Stegostoma tigrinum: one gene and its partner. The protein of the gene in region 2 purifies or fractionates together with the protein of the main gene of each other region. This does not show direct contact. Links are inferred from orthologs where the notes say so. Each region holds a gene or a part of one and is shown on either strand. Other genes may lie near its edges.

What was found. The genes of interacting proteins can lie anywhere in the genome.
Region 1: the proteins of tensin-2-like (region 2) and csk purify together in Homo sapiens (affinity purification with mass spectrometry; 6 studies listed by BioGRID and IntAct, with this or other methods). This does not show direct contact. The link is inferred for Stegostoma tigrinum from reciprocal best matches to the Homo sapiens genes TNS2 and CSK.

Annotation. Positions count from the first base shown.
Region 1 is NC_081389.1:17,788,129-17,795,977, reverse strand, and holds the start of csk (tyrosine-protein kinase CSK), read right to left. Parts: upstream 3,208-7,849; 5' UTR 3,193-3,207; coding exon 3,167-3,192; intron 1-3,166. UniProt on the Homo sapiens protein: Non-receptor tyrosine-protein kinase that plays an important role in the regulation of cell growth, differentiation, migration and immune response.
Region 2 is NC_081404.1:11,586,091-11,593,799, forward strand, and holds the start of tensin-2-like, read left to right. Parts: upstream 1-4,495; 5' UTR 4,496-4,520; coding exon 4,521-4,619; intron 4,620-7,709. UniProt on the Homo sapiens protein: Tyrosine-protein phosphatase which regulates cell motility, proliferation and muscle-response to insulin. Phosphatase activity is mediated by binding to phosphatidylinositol-3,4,5-triphosphate (PtdIns(3,4,5)P3) via the SH2 domain.

The DNA of each region.
Region 1 (7,849 bases), on a different chromosome or scaffold from region 2:
CTATACTTCAAATATAATACTTAATTGGATGTGGAGCAGATTTTGTTGTTAAACAGTTGGGTCTTACATGTTTTATAAATACAACTTTTTCTTCTTGCGGATAAAGGGAGTTGGGAACTAAAAAGACCTTAAAATCTGGAACCATTTTCTTGAGGAAGGCACTGCTGCAAACAAATCATCTTTTGACTGCTAAAATGTTCAAGGGGCAAAAAGAAGTCACTGCGATGGTCTTCGGAAGTGAAGGATGTACCGTTAAAAATAGGAATTTATTTCACATTATGCAAATTACAAAATTTAAAAAATTGTCCTTATTTCCAAGCAGCAAACAAAACATAAGTTTTGATGTTTCTTTTAATTTTATAACTTGCTTGAAGGAGTAAACATTTGTTTAAAGAAAGCATGAATATTTAAAATGAAATCAAGATAAATACAGGAAATTATCTCTCATTAATTGCAGCTGGTGAGGAATTGCCAAAAGCAGCAAGAAATCCTGATAAAGGTGAATGGTCTCCCCTATGTGATGAATGCAGAATGTACTCCTCACTTTCCAGTGGGGGAGCGAGGGAAACAATTCTCCAGCAACTATTCACAACTCCTTTCGGTAATGGCAACTAATTTTCTTACAAAATATTACATCCAATGTAATAGCACATAATCAACGACACTAAATAATTGGTTAGTTGGGTTTTATAATACATTAGGATAATCAATGGATAACAAAGTGAGGATGGTAAGTGGGATGAGGGGATAAGGAACAAATCCACACTACTGGCATTAAAGTTCAACATATTAAAATTAAAAATTAAATAATCCATGAGATTCAGTTCCATTTATTCAGGTTAAGCCCAGTTTGAGCTTCTATATTTCACTCTGCTGTGTTGCTGTTCCTGCTTTTATTCACTGGAATTATAAAAGAGTAATGCCTTGGAAAATTCATGTCACCATTCCACCAGAATCTGTTATATAATTAGCTTCTACCCGACATTGTTTAAAACACCCAGAACAATCTCCAGGTCCCCCTCCTCCCATAACATCCACATTTCTATTCCTCCCACAGCAAGATACCAGAGAGCAGGAGAGAAATTCAGCACTCTACAATTCCTGCCTTGAATCTACTTTGTTCCTGTAGTCAGGCTTAGAGAACACTAAGGAGTGCATTTCTACACTGCACCAGCACAAGAGAAGTAAATGCCATTTCCAAAAAAAAATATCAAGATCACCATGCACCGCAGGAACCTTTGTAACCATCGAAAATGAAAAGGGTGCAATAATGTCGTGCAGCCATTTGCCAGACAGATTTTACATTCAGAAAAATACTGCACACGTTTGTACAGAACTACCAGAATCTACCTAAATGATGCACTATGTTCCAGAAAATGTAACAGAAAGCCTCAATGTAAGCTCATTTTAAACCAACTAAAAAGTGACGGTACTATCATACAGAAGATAAAAGCAATTTATCACAACTTTCAGGTATTAAACGAAATGAATACAGATCAAGTATTTAAAAGTCATTAATACAATTTATTAATACAGTGATGAAGTGCCACCATCTGGTGTATGCTATAATGCTGTCTGAGGTTTAACCCTTCAGTCACAAAATGTCCGTTATTTGAAACATCTCAAATTAAACATGAAAGCAACAAGAAATTGTGGTATAATGTCTCTGCACACTAACAGCATGAAACAAAATCCAAAACAGATCTTTTCAATACATCATCTTTTCACACCACCTGCCTATCACTAATGGGCAATGCAAGGGCAAAAAGAAATTAGGATATCCTTACCTAAAATTTTCTACAAGGGTACAGAAACTACACAGCTGCAAAGACGAAACAGATCAGAAAGCACACACATAGCCCAGAACACTAAAAGGCTCCCATTTGAAAAATACAGCAATCTGGGACATCTCATTAAAAAAGGGTGGGCAGAATGACCAAATCCGTATTCTCTCAATAAAAACTGATAGAACTGTGGATGCTGTGAATCAGGAAGAAAAACAAAAATTGCTAGAACAGCTTAGCAGGTCTGGCAGTATGTGAAGCCAAAAAAAAAAGTCACATTTCAGATCCTGTGACCCCTCCTCCAGTACTAAGGGCAGGCCACCGGATTTGAAACGTTAACTGTTTTTTTCTTCACAGATGCTGCTAGATCTACTGAGCTTTTTCAGCAACTTTGTTCTTGCCCATATTCTCTCATTTTTCTTGCTCCTACCAGTTATCCCAATGCAACATATCCAGAGTTTCTAAGCATAAGCACAATAAACACTTGCAAACTGCATATCAGACAACACAAAATATACAAGAACTTTCACGTTGTTTTGATAGCCACAGTTCTGCTGGATGACAATATTTACTTGTAGAATTCCAATCTAACAGGTGTGTATGGTAAACAAGAAGGCAGCTGTAGCTGAAATTTCAATACAATAACTACTTTGATGTATACAATATTGTCACGCAGATACAATGACTTCTGAGTTTTTCACAGTTGGTTTCTTCGTTTACAAATTGAAAGAGGGACCAAAAGGCTCTTCCGAAAATACATGAGGGCAAAATGCAAGTAGCAGTCCTGCACATTCCTAACTAAAAAACTACACAAGCTCATAATCACAGACACATTGCAGATTTCTACTCAGTGATTATGTCACAAAACTACCAATTGTCACAAAAATCTGGTTCACTAGTAGCCTTCGGGAACAAAATCGTTTAGCACGTGCCTACAGGCCCACAACAATAAGGTTCACTCTTAACCGCTCTCAATGCTCAATTCAAGAGTTATTCAGGGTACAAAAATGCTGCCATTTCTATCTCTGAAAACTAGGACGACGACACAAGGATTTTTTAATCTGATCTCAGTCTCAACTCCACTTTCCATTCTGTCCTTATAAGCATTCTCTCCACAGTTCAAAAGAACGTCAGTATTGTTATGGAAAATAACAAAATTTAGCAGAATATTGATCTGGTTAATAGCTCTAGAACCCTGCAAAAATTCATTTTTTGGGTTTGGCCTTTCGCATTTCAAAGGCCATATTTGATTGAAAAACAATTTCATGTCTTGAAAATCTTGACTTTAAAAAAGTCCTCCTAAAGCCAACACACCCTTACACTCTTCAAGAACTCTGTCATTACATAGCTCCAACCTTTCTGGCATCTCTTATATGCTTTACCTGACTATCTGGCCACGCGCAGGCATGTATTCAGCCGTCTATTCTCTCCCAAGACTCTTTCCTCCTTTAAGACTCTCCTTAAAAAAAACAAGCAACTTTTAGTTACCCTCAATACTTTTACCACAAAGCAGTGAGAATAAGTTAGCTTAAAAAGGTCACAATAAACAGCTGTTGGTGATCTCTTCCACTGTAACACCAGCTCATTCTTTTCACTCATTGGTTCTTGCAATGACACTAAGCCACTATAATGATGGTTGCCAGGAGACCATGGCAAGTAATAAATTAAAAACTCCAAAAAAAAAGACTAAAATAGAAATAGCTGTATATTTATTTAAACTCAAACACCAGCGTTACGCTTAAAACCAGTTGTTAGGTTCACACCATCTAGATGTTATGCGCTACAGTTTCAGTTGTACGCTATTCAACGTAAAATAACTAGGCCCTATCTATGCCTTGTTTCATCCTCTAAATAGACCTTAGGTTCTGTTTCATCCTCTGCCATGTTTAATGTGGTGCCACTTCATTGAGCGAGCTGCAAAACAGTCAAAAATGCACCAGGCACCAGTGTGGTAAAATAGGAAGTCCTCACGATAATCACAATTAAGAGATCTACAAGTTATTCATGAATCATAGAACTCCAGGACTAAAGAATTCACGTGAAAAATACATACTGCTGATTATATAACACCATACCAGGAGTTGGCAGAAGTATAGTAGAGTTTACAATTGCAACAGATTAATGTCACTGACTTCAAATTGAAGATCTGTCTGCAATAAGAGCTTGTACAGTTTTCAATAAGTACTTGCTCATGAATAGAATCTCAATGACAGTCACAATCCAAGTAAATAACTACATCCATGTACTTTGCATTAGCAGGCAGTAACAAATCAGTGTGTCTTTAACTGTACACAGAGATGTGGTTAAATTATTTAGTGTTAAACCCAAGCATATGCAATAGCTTTTCTTAAATCAAACCCACAAAAGAGGGAACAAATACTGTCAAAGGATCTAAATTGAGAAATAATGCACAGGCAAAGGAGTACCGTAACAGTAAAAAAAACCTTTCATCTTTTCAAAGAAAAAAAATTCTTGTTTGTAGAGGTTCAGTGGAAAACTACTCTAAACCTTCCCAAGATAATCACTGGACATTGGACAAATACCGTACTATCAAATAAATTAACTGGCCAGCCGCATCATTTACGGCTCTGGGAAATAGTGCCACAAGGCATTGTGCTAGATCTAATTAGTCACTAAAATTCACAGTGTGAAGCACGTCGGGTGTTTGAATGTAAGAAGGCACTCCATAATTACAAATAATGATTTTTCCGAGTTACAGAATGTCCTGCATGCATCTTGAAATAGCTTTGTTATTCTACATAGGAAATTTAACTTGCAAAGTGGTGCCAATTTAAACTTTGCCTTTACTGCCTGGATACTCAGTCAGGAGTCATCTTTTAAGAATGAAGTAGCCCTAGGTCAAGACTGGAGCTTGATCTAAACTTACTGGAACCAATCCTAGTGTAATTTACATTGATGTAGCAGCACAGTGTGTGCTTGGAGTTTCTCAAAGTGCTTCACACCTAATTAATTACCAAGTAGAAGAGAATACTGGCCCAAATACAGTCCCCATCATCACAGTAGGTACCTAAATGGTGGGCCTCCCTCACAAACCTAAAAAAACAAGCAAGGACCATCTTTTTAAGTAGCTAAAGGAACCATAGCAGTGTCTTTAGGAAATGGACAGCACGCAATATGACATTTGTCTTGTAGCTCTAAAAGAAAATATTTTGTTTAAAAACTCAGCTCATGTTCCTAGAAAAGACAGCCCCACTAGATGTGAATATTCCAGAAAGCTAATTGGTGAAGACCAGAACTGGGTCCAATCTTTCTATATTTGTAAAAGCACTGACTTACAGTTGCATTTTGCAAACAGATACCACTACTTCAGTCCACATCCAGTTAAAACGGCACAAATCAATTCTCAATTCAGGCACAACACATCCACAATTAAAAGTAATCAACAATGCTTCCAAAGCAAAACATCCTAAATCAAGATAATAGACTACATGAACTTTCCCCATGTATACTCAAGTAAGGTGTAGACACCAAGCAAAATCTAGGATATGGTCACCCAGCCCAAGCTTTTATCCAGAAAGATCTGAATATATTGAAACATGATCGGGTTGCACAAATACCTGTAAAGTTTAGATACTTTAAACATTAACTATAACGTGTTTTGCCTCATTTTAAAAGAAGTGTCTTTCTTGCATACATTAAATCCAGTTGGTTTGACAAATTAAAGGCCAATTACATGGGTTTCAAAATAATCCTACAGCAAACAATAATTCCCAGCAGTCTTTATAAGAGTCACAGTCAGGCAGAAGCAGGCCAGTCCACTGAGCCCACACCAACCATTAAAAAGCATCCCACCTAGCCCCACCCTTTGCTCTATCATCCTGCAATTCCTCATGGCTAATCTAGCTAGTCTGCACATAGGGAAACACGACGGGTCAACGTGTGGAGCTGGAGAAACACAGTAGGTCAAGCAGCATAGGAAAGTGGACGTTTGGAGTTGGGAGGCTTCTTCAGAACTGTTCTGAAGTTCAATTCAGTTCGGAAGAAGGGTCTTGACCCAAAATATCAACTTTCCTACTCCCCTGATGCTGCCTGACCTGCTCTGCTCCTCCAGCTCCACAATGTATCGATTCTGATTCCAATAACTGCAGTTCTTGCTATCTCCTCAACACTATGGGGCAATTTAACATGGCCAATTCACCTCACCTGAACATCTTCGGACTGTTGGAGGAAACTAGAGCACCTGGGAGGAAACCTATGCAGACACAGAGAACATACAAACTCTGCACAGACAGTCACCCGAGGGTGGAACGGAACCCAGGTTCCTGGTGCCTTGGGGCAGCAGTGCCATTTATTGTCTAACCCATCACAATTTTCATTACGTACAAGATAAGGCACTTTTACATATCTAGTGGCTGGTCACAATGGCCTGACCCAATATCAACTGGTTGGATTGCGTTTCAGTACAAAATGTAACATGAATTCTACTATTTTGTAAAATAGTTCTATTCACCAGTCAATTTGGAACAAAAGTTGGCCAGTTACAAGTTTAAGCTCGAGTAATTGTTTCCAAATCTCATGGTAGCAAGCTCACGTGGTGCCTCTGTGTTAAATACACAAAGAAATGACCAAAGCTCTTCAGCAGTCGAATACAGCAAGAGTTCTAACAGGGCCTCAATTCCTCCATATTGTTCAAGGACCCAGCCTGAGGTATACTGATGTGGAGTACATAAGAACTTTTGGATTCACACCAATATAAAAAAACATAAGCAGCTGCTGCTATATCTCCTCCCAAGGAACTCAAGGGGAGGAGTCACTAAACTAGAAACGCACAGCATTAGCGATTCTGTACTTCCAAAGAGGACCAAGATTTACAGTTTTCGTACCCGGCACATTATCTCAGTCTGAATAAACAAAATTATTCCAGACTAGCCTGTCTTTTCCCCCCAAAGCTCTATCCAGCAGAGTTTTGCAACTCTCACCCCTGAATGAAAGATTGGAACTAATACATTTGATTTGCAAACAGTAGCAATTATTTTAGGCTATTACAGCATAATTATTAAAATGTGTAACTTTCACTGTTAGGGAAAAACAGCTAATGCTGTCACATATTAGGCAGTTATTTTTTAAAAAACTGCCTTTCATAAATTGGTTGAGACAAAGATGCTAAATCAGGCCATAGTATTGGTATTATTCGTGCTTCAATTAAGAAATTTCTCTCTATATATACAGCACCAGCCTTCAAAGTAAAGGAACACAGCAGAGAGCTAATTAGCAGAACAGCAACAATACGTCAAAGCAAAAATGATAGCTGCTGATCGCATCACAGCTTGCTCCGGTGCACAATTTTACCATAGGCAGTTAGGCTGGCCTATTCTGCAGACTGATGCAGTACTGACGATATGCACCAACTCCTTCAAACAGATCAGCAGCATTCTGCAGTCACAGCAACAAAACATAGGAGGGCTAATGCTTTGCATTCATATCTCTGCTCAAAAAAAAGACTGACTTTCTGTGCTAATAATCTTAAACATCTCTCTGCAGGTCATTTTCATTTCTTATTCACCAAGGTTAATAAAAATTACTAGGGTGCAATCTCATTTCTCTAACAAGGTTAATGAAATTTTCTGTCCCCCTCACCCCAAATAACAAAATGGTAACTACAAAGACATCCATGATCAACACGTTATAATCGCACAGCACACTGAAGTTAAATTCCAAAAGAACCCACCACTTATGTCTCATTTGAGACACATTGAAGTGCTCAGGCCAGATAATTTCAGCACTCACATGGCTATACAAACAAATAAAATTGACAGTAAATACCTTGTAAGTTATGCACTGTGAAAGACATGGTAAAATACTGAATATGGAAAAGGGAAAGGGAAGCACACCTGACAGATTCTCAGTACCAATACTTGCCTGCAGATCCTTGTTGCTGGTTGCCTGTGAGAGCAGAGGCAAGTATGGCACTTCTGCTGTTACAAAGAAAGATCAGGAATGGACCGAACAACAAAGTCTCCAACGAGTCTCTGGGATTTTGCATGCACTATTTCAATTGTCTTTTCAATATGTTCAGTCCAGTGTGATTCTTCATGGTGTCTGCA
Region 2 (7,709 bases):
AAATGAAACCCAAGGTACCATACGTTGTGCTAGCTACTCTCTCATGATGTCGTCCTGACACCATCAAAGATTGGTGCACATGAACCTTGAAATCCCTGTGTCCCTGTACACTCTAGAGCTGAGCCATTAAGTACATCCAGCCTCTCCCTACCTCTCTGCCAAATGGCATCATCTCACACTTTATTCTTCTATTAATACTTCTGTATTATTCTTATTCTGTATTATTCTTATATTAATACTTCTGTGTTAAATTCTTACTGTCACTTGACTGTCCGTTCTGTAGCACTGAGAAAAAATTAGTTTGATTCAGATGCTGTTATAGTTAGTCTTGTAGCCATCACACATGTCTGTAATGTGAATGTGAGCTAAACTGTGCATGACACCCAAAGGAAAGATTTTTACAAAAGCAAGCATGTGACAAGTGAGCATTCCCTTGAATGCCTGAAAGTTCACTAACCTTGTACCAGAATCTATGCGTTACAAGAATCTGCAAGGCACAGTATGAGCTTGAGGTATGACTTATTTGGAGCTTAGAAAAGGACCAGAGGGGGAAAGTTCAGCACTTGATATGATCACAATACACAGAACTGTGGCTGTGTTCCAGGGAAAAAAAGTATCCAGAGTGGGTGCTGTGTGAGATTTTTACTTGACGGGCCTCATACAACATTAACTGATCCTGTGCGTCAGCCTGAGCTTTGATAACAGCCTGTTTGTCTTGGGAATGTTAGAATTTAGATGTCCTGGTTGGGGTATAGATGAAATGATGAGAAAAGTAAATGGAGCAGAGTAATTAATATTACTCCCACTTACAGCTTGAGACAATGACAAGCTAAGTTTATACAAAGAATGCTGTTCAGCCCAATGATTCTCATCTTTTAGATTACCAACCCTGCTTTCTTCCCAAAATAGTACCTAGTAATTCAGCATTCTGTGGTATTCTCCAAGGTTCCTCACAAAGGCTTCCTTTTTGTGAAGCCTAAACCTGGATTGTCCTGTTAATACTGTACAATGGCTTCACAAGATGTTGCAGTGAGCAAAATATCCCTGGAGGAATGGAAAGGAATGAAGAAAATTGGGGAATGGTGGTGGAGGGAGGAGGCTATAAAGGTTAATGAACGGTATTAAATATGAGCCAGCAGCTTCAGGTGAAGACAAAATTGGAGAGGCAGATACAGTTTTGGTAAAGTGTAATGGTAGGTTTTCCTTTAAGAAGTTGCTGAGGGACTTGACCTTCATTCAATCTTTTCTCATCTGTTAAATGGGATTAATGGCTTGTCTCAAATTGGATTAAGTGTTTGTGTTTTAAATGTTCTCACACTTCCCAGGTCGTGGTATCCCACAAAGAGCATAGGCAAACAACGTGCTCCAAGATCTGTTATTGGAGGTGAGCTACCAGATGATGAGCATCAGAAGCCTGAGACTGGGTGTACCCCTTTTCTTCATCCTATCTTGAAGCAGATGCTCCCTTCCACTTCCATTGACTTCTAACCTTTCCACAATGGTAGTGTTGCTTTGTCCAATACTGTGGCAGCTGTCACACATCTTGGCTGTTACTAAGCTGGCATGAACTGCTGTGTTTAGATGTTCTCTGCCCAAGATGTGGTCAATAAAGATTCTCCTCACTCTGGGTGAGCAAATTAATCACCAGATCAGAAAAATATTTCATCTATTTAGAGTAGTGGTTTTGCAGAGTGTTTTTCAAATAATAAACTTCTGCTTTGTCTACAAAAGGCAAGTCTGGGTTCCTGACAATCGATATTTGTAAATGTTAGCAATCTCTTTCAATGTCTGGTTGCTGGCACTGACTATTGATTCTGCTACATCAGGAGAGTGTTTGTTTTTTTTTAATCTCCTGACTGTGGCAGTTCCCACAGAAAATGCCACTTTACTGCTAAACTGGAAACTCTACAACAGAGGGATGTAGGGGGTGCTAGGAGTGGTGGGGTCAACAAAAGATTTTGTCAGTGCATCAAGTATTGTGAAATTATAAATCGGTTGTTTAAGATTTTGTGATACAAGATGCAAGGAGAAAATCCTACCACCCCTGCAAAGATTCTCAGGAATTTAATTTAAATTTGGGAGGGAGTAGTAGCCTTGATGACTGAATAGTCTTTGCTCATACATACATACTTATGTATATTGAAAAATCCTGGGCATAGAGTCATAGAGCCATACAGTGAGCCAACTTGTCCATGCTGACCAGATATCCTATACAGATCTAGTCCTATTTGCTAGCATTTGGCCCATATCCCTCTGAACCCTTCCTATTCATATACCCATCCAGATGCCTCTTTAAATGTTGTAATTGTACCAGCCTCCATCACTTCCTCTGGCAGCTCATTCCAAACACGCACCACCCCCTGTGTGGAAAAAGATGCCCCTTAGATCCATTTTAAATCTTTCCGCTCTCATCTTAAACCTATGTTCTCTAGTTTTGAACTCCCCAACCCAGGGAAAAGACCTTGAATATTCACCTTATCTGTGCCCCTCATGACTTTATAAACTTCTGTAAGGTCACCCCTCAGCCTCTGATGCTGCAGCCTCTCCTTGTAGCTCAAACCCTCCAACCCCAGCAACATCCTTGTAAATCTTTTTTTATTTGTCAGTGTTTCAGTAAGCAGAACTAAGAGCCCTAACCTCATTTTACAAGCCTTCAACAACCTTGTGCTCCTTGAATTTAACCTCTTCCAAAGCTCTAATTTTGAATCTCTCTAACAATGGCTACCTTCCCTTCAGCTCCAGTAATCTAGACTAGAACCTAAGCTTAAGACTTTCTTCTCAACAGTTCTGCTTTTCTTCTTCTATGATGGTCTGTAAAACCTACCTCTTTGAGCAAGCAATTCTGTCACCTATTCTAATATCTCCCTTTGTAGTCCAGTGTGAAAGGTTGTTTCCTAATCCTCCTGTGCTGAAGTGCCCTTGGATGTTTTGCAATGGTAAGGGCCCTTTGGAATGCAAGTTGCTGGTGTACAGCTTCTGTAGTGCTGTAGTGACAGTAAAAGTGATTCGTTGAGGGACGATGCAACAAAGGTGTGCTCAAATTGGCAAGTCACACATAAAAGAGCAAGAGTTTGAGAAAAGGCTTCCACACTGTGTTGCCAGTTTTATGAGCTGCTCTTGTCTCAAGTGAAATTTTGCGCAGGCTCATTCCGTAAAACTCTATTGCTTTGCTGTTCACAATTTCTCTAAAATGATCACTAGTTGCTCACAACTAGGAAAACAGATGTTTGAGATGTGCAAGGGGCTGGGGAAAAGTGCCCTGTCATAGAATCAAAGAAGGGCATTGCACAGAATGAGGCCAGTGGCAGCTCCTTTAAAGAGCTATCCAATTAGTCCCACACTCCTGATCCTTACCAGAAATCCTGCAATGGCATTCAGTTCCCCTGTTTGGCAGTTACTATTGAATCTGCTTCCACTTTCCTCTTTGGGGGAATGCATCCCTGAGCACAACTCAGTGTCTTTTAAAAAAAAAATCTAATGTGTCATCTCTTGTTTCTATCTGCGTCCCTTTGGTTACTGAACCCTCAACCACGCTTCCATGGTTTTGAATGCCTCAATTAAATTTCCCCTTAATCACCTCTGCTTTGAAGAGAACAATCCCAGCTTCTCAAATCTCCCCAAAATAACTGGAATCTATATCTCTGAGATAGTAGGAACTGCAGATGCTGGAGGATCTGAGAAAACAAAGTGTGGAGCTGGATGAACACAGCAGGCCAAGCAGCATCAGAGGAGCAGGAAAGCTAACGTTTCAGGCCGAGACCCTTCATCACTGGCACCTTTCTGTAAGTTTCCCCTGCACCCCCTCCAGGACGTTGGCATCCTTCCTACAGTGTGGGGCCCAAATCTTCGCTATGTTTGCAACAGCAGCAAAATCATGAGCATCTCTGAGGCTGCTACCTCTCGCATTTGTACAAAGTTAGATACTCAACAGGAAGCAGCAGAGAGTCGGCCAGGATTGGCTTTGCTACTTTCTCCACACGTTCTAGATCTGGGGATAGAGAATAATCTAGATCAATTAGATCTGGCTGTCATTCAGCGGTTTAAATAATTGCTTGCAGGGTACAGTCTCCTCTGACAGAAGAAACTGAAGGGGGGGGGGTGAGAATCCTCACTATTGAATTGAAATGCTCGCAGCATGCCATCATGCTTTGTTCTTTGCAAACCCCTTTTGATTGATGGCTGTTATGAAATTCATTCCCCAGTCAATGCAGCTGAAGGACTGCGTCTCTATGACCCAGGTAGCGAAGGTTTTGGGGTGGGGGGAGGGGTCGTAGGAAAGGTTTGACACCTGTGTGTTAAAAAGGTGAAACAGCAGCTTTCTACCCTGAAGATCCACATGCGGTTGCTCCACTGTGACCGGCGCTGCCGGTGAATTCAGGGGCGGTGCTACGTTTCCAGAATTAAACTTTTCGCTCCGTTTTCCGGAGGAGGGTGGGGGTTGTGGTGGTGGGAGGGAAGAGGGAAAAAGAAACATCTCCCTGGGAGTCAGAGTAGAACCAGCATCAGAGAGAGCGAGCTGCATGGGCTGTGCTCTAAGTCTCGATTGCTGCGGGAAGGAGCTCTGCGGGCCCCCAGATGAAGCTACGGGGAGGAAAGAAGAAAAAATGAGGCTCACGAAGGTATTTCATCCTCTCCTGCGCTCTGTGTGTGTTTTGAGGAGGATCGTTTGTAGAAAAGTGCGTAGACTTTGAGACAAGTCCTATACACATACATACCTATGTATACATTATATATACATATAATATATATTAGATACATCTAAGTCCTGTCAGGCTTGTCGATTGAAACCACTACCGCGGTAAACCAGGCGAGAGCGGGCAAAGGTCAAGTAACGTAATTGTTTTCTGGTAACGCATGGGTTGTTGTTTTATTTACGAGATTTTGTAACCTTGGGAAGCTTAAAAAAAAGGAAAGGGGAATGAAAGCGACAGGAATAAAGAGATGAGGCCAACTTTGTTGCTTTTGGAAGCTTGGAGGGAATATCAAAGGGGTGCAGCCCTCGTCAAAACATTTTTTTTCCTGGGGGTGTGGTTCGGGAGGGGGGTGGTTAGCCGACTCTTTAATACAGTGATGTCGATGTCAACATAATGCAGTCTGTGTCAAGTGTCTGGCAAAACTAACTCAAGGAAACTTTATACGAAGATCAGGAAAAGTTGCACTGCTTTGTGCTGTTTTCTTTTTCCGACGACATATGACTCGAACTCCTCGAGCTTATTGACTCGAAAAGTAACAGTTTGAGTGCAGGTCACTGCAGTCTGCAATCTGATTATGTAGAGAATGCTTTTCTGGCTGCAGTCACTCAGCTCCTCAAATCTTCCTGGAATACACTGCCTCCGATGTCAACGAAAGAGCCACATATTTCATCATAAGTTCAGTGCTCTGTTGTGTTAGGTGGCGGTGGACGCTGCACAACGTGACATCCTTCAAGGATTCCTGCTGTCATATCAGCAGCGCTGCTGCCTCGATGCACTCTGCACTGTCCCAGCTGGAATATGCTGGGCCAGCCACAAATTGAACCCTAAGACAGCACCTCTTTTAGCTGCGTCCCCACGGCTAGATCTGGTTTAAAAAAAATTCTGTGGCTTTCCCCCTTGCTACTGACAAGTCTCCTTTCCCATGGCAGAGAACGCTCAGGTTTCAATGCCATTTGTGAGTCGCGTGTGTGTGCATGTGAGGCCTCCCGCCTGCCTCCTGTGGCCACCACGAGTCACTGCTCTCACACCCTGGGGTCAAGTACAGGCCGGCTGCTGGCGCTCTTTCTCTGTTCATGGGCAGTTGCCTGTAAATCACCAACCAGAAGCAAAATGCTGCACATCTGACATGAAAGCAGGTCAGAGCATGTGTGGAGAGAGAAACAAGTCTGATGAGCTATGAAATGTCAATGTTGATGTAGGGTCATCAATTTGCACTCAAGGCAGGTGTGGCGGGGTACACTGATGATTGCACTAATGTTTGCAACTTCTCAGATACTGAAGCAGTCTATGTCGGAAGACCCGGCCAGTTTGGCTAATAAGTAACAAGAAACATTTACACCACACAAGTGGCAAGCGATCATCTCCAACCAGGGAAAATCATCCCTTAAAATTCCAGGGTACTACCGTTACCATTGCTGAATTGCCTACAATCAACAACCTGGGAGTTACCATTGACCCAAAATTGAATTGGGTCAGCAATACACATACTACAAGATTCGCTCAGAGGCTAGGAATACTGCAGCAACTAATTTACCTTCTGACTCCCAAAGCCTGTCCCACCATTGACAGGGCACAGGCCAGGAGTGTGATGGAATACTCCCCACTTTTGCCTGGATGGATGCAGCTCCAACAACACTGAAGAAGGTCCAGATCAAAGCAGCCCAGTTGATGAGCACCCTGTCCACCATTGTTCAGCGCGATCAGTGTGGACCACGTACAAGATGCACTGCAGCAAATCACCAAATCTCCTTTTACAGCACCTTCCAAACCCACAATTTCTACCATGTGGAAGAACAAGGTCAGCAGATCCATGAGAACACCATCATCTGCAAGCTCCCCTCCAACCAACTCACCATCCTGACTTGGAAATATATCACTGTACCTTCAATGTTATTGGGTCAAAATCCTGAGACTGTCTCCCTAACGGCACTGTGTACCTGGACAACATGGACTGCAGAGATTCAAAAAGGCAACACACCACCACCTCTTCAGGAATAATTTTATTTTAATAGTGGCTGATAAATCCACAGAACTGTCTTGTCAAAACACTGTGAGTTTGGTCCTTTTATAGTTTTATATTCAACACATTAGCTTTATAGGAATGTTGGCTTAAGTTCCTGAGGTCCACACTAATTGCTTCTTTTGGAATTTGTCATTCAAATACCATTCTTATGTGAGTCTAATGATTATCTAGTTCACAGGTCGGCACAACATCGAGGGCCGAAGGGCCTGTTCTGCGCTGTATTGTTCTATGTTCTATTATTGGTAAGCATGTAGAGCCATCACTCCAACTCAGGACAGACAATAAATGTTGGCTCAGCCAGTGACAACCACATCTCATGAAATAATTTTTGAAAAACATTAGCTCTGTTTCTCTCCTCTTTGACACTAGGATTCAGATACAAATCAGCAAACTGACCATAGGAGTCAGAGTGAGCCTTAGCAACTTGCTGAGTTTTTAATGATGAACTTTGCCATGCAGTGATTTTTGAAGTTCTGATTTTTCTCACATGTTCAAATGTTAACTGAGCAATAAAGTATTAGGTTGATACAAATGCAAACGATTGGCTGTTGACCTATATACTGAGAGTCTCCAATGGCTACAGAAGCACACTATATACTGCAAGAAAAATTTACATTCATATCGTGCCTTTCTTGAACACGTCCTGTGAGCTTTATTCCAATATTCTTATGTTTGGTTTGTGATGTGATTTTTGTATTAATGTCAAAAAGAAAGTCTTGCATTGATATAGTGTCTTGAACATACCAAAGTGTTTTATGGTTAATGGATTACTTTAAAAGTATGTTCACTGTTGTGACGTAAGAAACATGGCAGCCTGTCTACACACAGCAAGCTCCTACAGACAGCAATGAGCCAGCTTCCTTTGCAACATTGATTTGAGGGATAAGGATTGGCCAGGTCACCAGGGAAAAGGATCACTCACCTGCTCTTCTTCAACATAATGCCACAGATTATTTTATGTACATGCTAGTGATGTAGAAGAGGGAGCCTTG